2 linked regions of the Schizosaccharomyces pombe genome follow. The gene in region 2 interacts genetically with the main gene of each other region. Each region holds a gene or a part of one and is shown on either strand. Other genes may lie near its edges.

Region 1 (3,772 bases), on a different chromosome or scaffold from region 2:
GTTCCCAAACCGAAAACGATGATGAACAATGCAAGTAAAGCGTTTACGAAGCTAAATGAAAATAACTTGATAAATCCGCTTAAAACGAAGATACCACCTACGCCCAAATTAATGGCACTAAACATTTTTGTTTTATCCATTGTGAATTAAGTGTATGCAACCAATATTAAATTTTTCAAGCAATATGTATTTTAGTCGATGTTTGCTTAAAGACAAAGAGAAATGCAAGTTACTAAGCCTGCCTATGCTTACCGATGCGGTCATGCATATTTACGAACTATTGAAATACGGTAAATAAAAATAACGAATTCCATAATTCTCAACCAACTTTTTGTTGTTTACAGAAAATGAATAATTCAATTCATCGAAAATGCATTTTGTTTTCTATAGCATTCTTTGTACTGTTTTTGAAGTTAAAAACACTATCATTTAGTAAATAATGTACTTTCGACCCGGCTTTTTTTTGAGACAACTGTTGTTGACAATTTTAAGGTCTGTGGGTCAATTTATATATTTGTCAAACGTTCGTAAACAAATGTATTTGTATCTTAGTTTCATACGAGCTCCTTTAGCTATATGTGATCTACTCTCACTCGGGATCTACAGGGCTGTAAAATTTTTTGCACTCAAGTTTCACGCGATTATTATCAGATGCACCTGAATAAAAAAGAATAAAGTAAAATAAAAAGCCGAATGTTTTATAACGTAGTAAAATTCCTTCTTATTTTGATCGCTTTGCCATTCATTTGATTATGTTTATAATGATAATTTCACGTGCAATGTCAACTTTGATAGACGGCTACATCTATTTCTAATTCGTAACGCTATAAAAAAAAACTCCATTTTAAACTGAGAATAAAGCAAGAAGTCGATTAGCCGAATATAGATATCAGCATGATTCGTTTTAAACGGCCCAAAGCCTTGTATATATTTGAGTAATTTTCTACTGTACTTAATTGTCTGTAATTAAACAACTATTTGTTACTCCTACCTTGTTACACTTGGATTTAATACTCTGGAATTAGTGTACTAACTCCTAAATAAATATTTAAGTAGTATTTTTCTTTAAGATATTTCTTTAATAAACATTCTCTTCTAATGAAAAGAAAAGCGTCATTATTGGTATTTTAGTTTTCAGAGCAAAGAGGTACTTAACATTTATTATGTCGCAATTATTTTATATATATATTATATTAATATTTTGTAATGAGAAACCTAGGCCTAATAGTGTAGTGGTTAACATACCTCTTTCGGGTAATCCCCACTTGTATGCTGAGTTTAGAGGTGATCCCTGGTTCGAATCCTGGTTAGGCCCCTTTTTATACTGGGCTTGCTGTATAAATTTATCTGATTAATTTTGAAACTACGCAAACCAACTTTCAATAATTAAAAAGTTTTCCTTACACCTTGCTTGATTACCTTTTAATAGATGTGAAATAAGAACTACTAAATTTGTGATAAATACCGAAAACAATCAGAAGAGTCGAAAAGAAGCATTCAAAAAATTGTGTAAATAACGAGTAGGTTTCTAATAATACGATAATTTCACAGGATGCCTATAATGGATCTGGCAGCTAATGAGCAAATCATTTTTACTTTTTTTTTTATTTAAAACATACGAAAAGATTCTCTTTTTTTGCTGCAAACAAAATTTACTGTAATTGAACCTAGAATTGGTAGCAAAGGCATTACACCGTATTACTGTAAACTTCACTAATGTTTGTGTTTTTAGGCGCATGATGAACATGATTACTCAAGAAAGTAACCAGCGACTATGTCAAATTTGCTTCTGATCATTGACTCGGTTTCACAAAAAATAAGAGACAGGAGGAAGTTGGAAGAGTTTGGACAGAATCCCGATGAAGAAATTGAGTCTTCATTGAAAGATGTTCGGCAAGAATTGCAAAAACTTAATGAGGAGCAATCGCGATTAGAGAAAAATGCACAAATCCCAGAGTACAGAGTACGAGAATCCGAAGCATTTCTTATTAGAATGCAAAGGAGGTTAGAGTCTGCTGAGGAAGAGTTTGAGAAGCAGCGGCGTGCATCCTCAATTCCTGCTGACGGAACAAGTGCCTTTTCTGCAAACCCGCAAGTTGCAAGTACGAATAATAAGTTAACTCCCCTTCCTTCTTTACAAAAAACGACTTCGAGTAGTGAGGGATCTGATATTGAGATGGAGGCCATGTATCCGGTTGATGGCAATGACCCTGATCCCATAAACGTAAACGTTTTGGCTCAAATGCATCAGCAAATGCTCAACGAACAAGAAGAATCTTTAGGAGGGATCGAAGCAAGTGTCCAAAGGCAAAAGCGGATGGGATATGCAATGAATACAGAATTGTCCGAACAAAATGTTTTACTAGATAATATGAATAATGATGCTGATCGAATTGAGAGGAGGTTTGATCATGCAAAAAATCGATTAAACAAGGTCAGCCGAAAGGCTAAACAGTATCCCAGATGCTTTATTATTTTGCTCCTTTGTGCGTTGTTATTACTTGTGGCTTCCATTTAGGGTGCAAATAAATATCACTTAGCAATTGTACTTGCTGTAACTCTGTTACACTTTCACTTAATTCTTTTATTTCACGTCCTCTTTGAACTAGGCTATATAGTTCTTTTATTTATATTTAATAACCGTGATATTTACGAACTTTTTTTTTACGATTTTGAAAATGTTTTTGTGATCTTCAACTTCTTTTGCTAAACGAACCTTCCCTTTATAGGGAATACAGAAATTAACTTTTTCGTACATTCCAGTTTCTAACCATTGACTGTCTTTCTACTTTAGTAATTATTTTTCTGCTAGCGCATTTCTTATCGAAATCATTTTTGTGTTCTTTTAAGGGCCGTCCCCCTTGTTCACAAAGCTAGTTTTGACGACTTAAATCAAGTGAATATAGTGCATGCAGAGTGAATGCTTAATAACCATTTGTTACAAACTTTGTTTCGCTAATAACTCCTTATTTGACATTTGAATAAATAACCTATTAGACTTTCAAAATTTTTAGATTCAGGGCAGTAAACAATAAACAACAATATCTTCAATTAGCTGTATCAATTTATTTTCAGAAGTTTTGCTATATTATTCCTTCATCTCATTAAAAAATATTCTCTTCTATTATTAAACATACGTAGTCATGTTATCATTATCATTATTAAGGAAAAGTTTGAACGAGTAGATTCTTTCTTGAGAATTAAGGGAACATGTGCTTGAATGCCATTTTTTTCATCTTAAATATAAAGCCTCCGTTGCTATTGTTAACCATATCACGCTGAACCTTTTTTGATAATAAAATATCAGAAGCAACCCTCTTAACTAATGTGTTGTGAACCTCTCAGCATTGCATATCTTAGCGTAATTAAATATTCGGTAAAAGAGGATCGTTTTCCTATCAACAATTGAACCCCAAATCAAAATATTCAAAACTTCAGATCAATCCTTAAATTAATTAAAAACCGAATCAAAGCTAGTTGATTTTTGTTTAAAAAAACTAAAAGATGCATTTCATTAAGAAACAAATAGTATAAAATATAAAGATATGAAAAAAATTAAAATGAGGGCGGTTGATTCCGATTATTATCTGTAAGCAAACCGGAAGTTTCGGATACAGGATAATTAAAGTCTGAAGACCAATTTGCCCCATTGTTATTGAATGAATTAAAATTAAAGAAAGGAATTGAATTGGAATTATCTAATTTCTCAGACTGAAAATTAGTCTCCATTTGATCCCCTTCGTTGTTCAATGAATTTGAATTCTCAACGCCT
Region 2 (4,125 bases):
TAGCAGAAGGTTCAACCGTACTCAGCTTTACTTTTTCTCGAAAAAAATCGACTCCATGTTTATCACTACAATAGTTGGAATTAGGTCTTGTGGGATTCGAGCATTCTCGTAACCGGCATTTTCTTTTCCAAGTAGTTATACCCTTTCCTTCTTCTGTGCATTTAGGACAAAAGTACTGTACAGTTAAATCATTATAAGATTCAGGTATATTAACGCAAGTGCCATGAAACCAATCTTCGCAACCATCACATCCTAACATCCATGATCCATCATCAGGCTTTTGGCATATACAATACAATGGTCTTTGATGATCGGCTGTAGACAGATTGAGTTGGCTATTCGCATTTCCTCGGTGTTTTCGTGGACCCCTTCTATGAGCTGATACGGGTGGTTTTTTGGGTATTGTAGGCTGTTGAATGACTTGCATTTCTATGTCTGTTTCCGTTGAGGAAGAATCAACGTGACCGTTGACTTCTTCAACCTCCATTTTAACAGATTTATTGAGAATTACGTTGGCGTCTTTCTCTTCCTCATTGTTAGCTGTCTCGATATGAAAATCAGTAATGGTGCCTCTATTCGAATCCTCAAATTTTACAATTGATTCTACATGAGTTTTTTCATTTTCCTCAGTATTCTCTTGCGTTAATTCCATTATTGGAATTTCAGTTGTCTAAGTCTGTCAATAAGTAAAATCTAAAGAAAGCGAGCTTAAGCACAGTACACTAAATGCATTAAAAGGAACTACAAGCCAAACCAAAATACAAAAGAAATGGGGTCTGTCAAAACAAGTTGAAATTTAAACAAGTCGTATATTAATATCAAGCTTAATTAAAGGAGACAATTATTTCAACCTTGACGGACGAACTAACCATGCCTATATAACTCACAGAGGTTACTGCGGTATCTTCAAGAAGATTAAACAAAAAAAAAAAAAAAGGAAAGAACGCAAATACACCAAATAATAAATATTTTTAGCCCAGATAATCTCATCCAAGACAATCACTAATGTAGCAGAATTGGATAGAAAACAAGACAAAACTGCAAAAGAAGATTCCATTAAATTTCGTGAAATTAAATCAAATACTCATAAACACCCAAATATTAACCCAATTTGCGAAGGCCAGCTCGTGTTCTGTGTAGCTTTTTTTGGTTTGCATATGCTTCATTAGAAAGCTCGTCTAACATGGAGTTTTGCTCGACAACTTCTTGATTAATCATTTTCGAAAGCTCCTTCTGCCTTTGAATAATAGGCAATAACGATTCTGCTTGCATATCTTGATCTTCCATAGTTTGATTCTGCATGTTGTACAGTCCTACATTATCAAGCTTTTTTGTTGTCTGTGTCTCTGGCATTCTGTTTTTTCCAAGGACTCTGTTCAAAGAGGTATTAGATTGTTTGTCAGTAGATGCAGATAATGGGCGAAAGGGAGAACTAGGATTAGAAGAGTTTAATTGAGATGAGGCAGAAGGAGGAGCGACTGGGCTGTTTGCATTTTTAACTAACCGTTTAAATGACAAGAATTCAGAACCAAGCTGTTCTAACATATCTTTTCGTCGAAGGATTTCTCCTGGACCAAGAGCATTTGCTAATTCTAATTTGTCTAACGATTCTGAAAGGTTATCCATTAGCGACTTTATTGCATAGACATTCTTTGTTTGAACTCCTATCGTAATGCTTTTTCCACTCATTAAGTCAACTCGGTACATATGTAAATTACGTTTACAATCTTGAAATACTTGAATCCAATCTGTCGGACCCAAAAACTGACCCTGTGTTTCATCTTCCGATTCATCTTTAATATTTAGAAATTTTTTAACCACAGGCATTTTTATCCATGGCGTTTCTGAAAGGCATTGAACGTAAGCTTGTAAAGCAAGTCGTCGAGATTCACGTAACTTTTCATTTGTCACAGTTGAAGAAACCCAAGATTTAGAGGGGAGTTTGCAAAGTCTACTGTTGTAGTCATTTGGCCGAATTTGAGCATCCAAAGCAACGAATTCATTGAACCGACGAAATACAACATGTTTCCCACCATTCGGAAATGCTACTTCAATATGGTAAACCGTCCATCGTGAATATTCATCAGAAGACTAGTTGTAAGTAAAAATTAAAGGAATAAAGCTTACTTGAGACGTTTCTGGTATTTTAATTTTTAGCGCCATACTTGCTATGAACAGGTTGATCAACAATGAGTTCATGAACAACAGACTACTGTATCGGATTTACTGCACTATCGTTATAAAACTGTATAATGTAGAATTTGAGCTTTCAAATAGTATAGGTTCTATTAGTTGAATAAAGATAAATTTCAGTTTCATGATGCTTTAGATCCTTTAAACCTCATGTTTTCCTTGATGCGCGAGATGCCTTTACGATTATCGAATTGGCAGGTATTGAAAGAAAGTTTACCAGTTTGCAATAGATTTAGAAATTAAAATAATGAATTAGGTTAGTATATTATCTTATACCTTTAAACACTTTATAGTCAGATTATTGAGTATTTTTTTTGGCACTCGTGAACGGTGCAACTTACAAGTAATTACAATACCTAAACAGAAGAACGGCAAAATCTTAACGAAGCTTAGTAATAAACAGAAATTGTTTATTTTCTATATTTTCCTACATGGATTGGTTGCAAGCGCGACTTGCCTAAAGTATTAAAAGCACAGAATAAACGCCAGATCGTAACATTATGCAAAAGTGTAAGTATAGGTAGATTCCAAATAACAACAGTACTCTGATATGCATAAAGATTTTTCACTTAAAATACATGTCATGTAAATATAAAGGCCCCACAGATGATATATAATAGTACTAGTGGAACTTAACAACTGTTTTTTCATATCACGAGAGGGAAAAATATACAGCGAAAAGACTTCTCACATTTGCTTAAAGTATAACCATATACTGCTTTTGAACGATCATCCAATTCAAACTATGCGACCCTAATAGATGAGAATAAAGGACGAAACATCCCACAATGGATATCTTTTAAAAGAGTTCGGAATCAATTTGAAACCACAGTCATTAAATTACATATATTCATAGTCAGTTCCACACATGATGTTCAACTCAGAAAGAAGAAATCTGCCTCCTTCATCAGAAATAAATTCCACCGTGAAAACGAAAAATGAAAAAGAGAAGAAAAAGGGCATTAACCTGATGAAAAAAGTTTGACGTTACCTCACTGAAATTATTGAACACGAGTAAAGACATATAGACAAATTTGGAAAATCCCATAACAGATACAATGAATTAAGATAAGCCCATGAGAACTTCCACCAGGAAGTAAACAACCAACTAACTACATTACAAGAAAAAAAATGATGTAAAAGAAACAGAACTCGAACTTTACAGAGACAATGCCCAGCAGATAAAAGTGATAATCCAAATTTGTGACAAGTAAGCACCCACCACTTGGAACATGGCGGACCAATTCATTGAAAACAAAATTGAATAAGGAATAAAGCAATTCCACAGAGTAAGGAAAATCATCAAAAATAATGATTGGGGAATAGGCCTTTCACTAAACACGACTCTTTGAATAACGTAACCAATTGGTACATGGGCAAGATATTGTAACGGGAGCGGAGGGGCAACGAGACTAGTAACAACGTTATGGGAGTTTCCAAGAATAAGACCGTTTAAGAATATCTTTTGTGATATATAATTAAGCACGCTGATCAATACACTCGCCATAATTGTGAATAGGAAAGAGACACTATACTGTGTGTTGACTTGGTTTGAACATTTGATGGGGTTAGCTCTAGAGAAACAGCGCGCCACTAGCAAAGAAATGGCGTCAATTATGAATGCCCAAGCAATTTGACTCAAAGGAGTAAGGTAGTAGGTCGAGAGAAGCACGTATACTGGATATTTCGTAAGTAAAAGCCATCCATAACCTAGGTTGAATTTCTGCAACAGAAGAGATTGACCAACGTGCATAATAATTGATAAATAACTCTTTCAATCCATTGTTAGTAAATCTAAACTTATATAATGATCTGCATACCATCCAGTAAGGAATATCACTTTCCACCACCCCCGTGGAAGCTAATAATCGTGGATTGAGGTGATAATTTAGCAAGCCATAAGTTAACGTGTGTAAAAATAGGTAAATGGAC

What was found.
Region 1: mutations in vsl1 (region 2) and fsv1 impair growth when combined (synthetic growth defect), as found in Schizosaccharomyces pombe (one study listed by BioGRID).

The regions. Positions count from the first base shown.
Region 1 is NC_003424.3:1,312,467-1,316,238, reverse strand, and holds fsv1 (SNARE Stx8), read left to right. Parts: upstream 1-1,758; 5' UTR 1,759-1,774; coding exon 1,775-2,518; 3' UTR 2,519-3,003; downstream 3,004-3,772. Other genes in the region: tvp15 (COPI-coated vesicle-associated protein), read right to left, coding at 1-140; DNA-binding transcription factor, glucose starvation sensing, Rst2, read right to left, coding at 3,556-3,772. UniProt on the Schizosaccharomyces pombe protein: Involved in vesicle-mediated protein transport between the Golgi and the vacuole.
Region 2 is NC_003421.2:364,827-368,951, forward strand, and holds vsl1 (SNARE protein Vam7), read right to left. Parts: upstream 2,186-4,125; 5' UTR 2,164-2,185; coding exon 2,128-2,163; exon of another isoform or gene 2,092-2,127; coding exon 1,102-2,091; 3' UTR 772-1,101; downstream 1-771. Other genes in the region: Set1C PHD finger subunit Spf1, read right to left, coding at 1-652; bouquet formation protein Bqt3, read right to left, coding at 3,353-3,964, 4,014-4,125.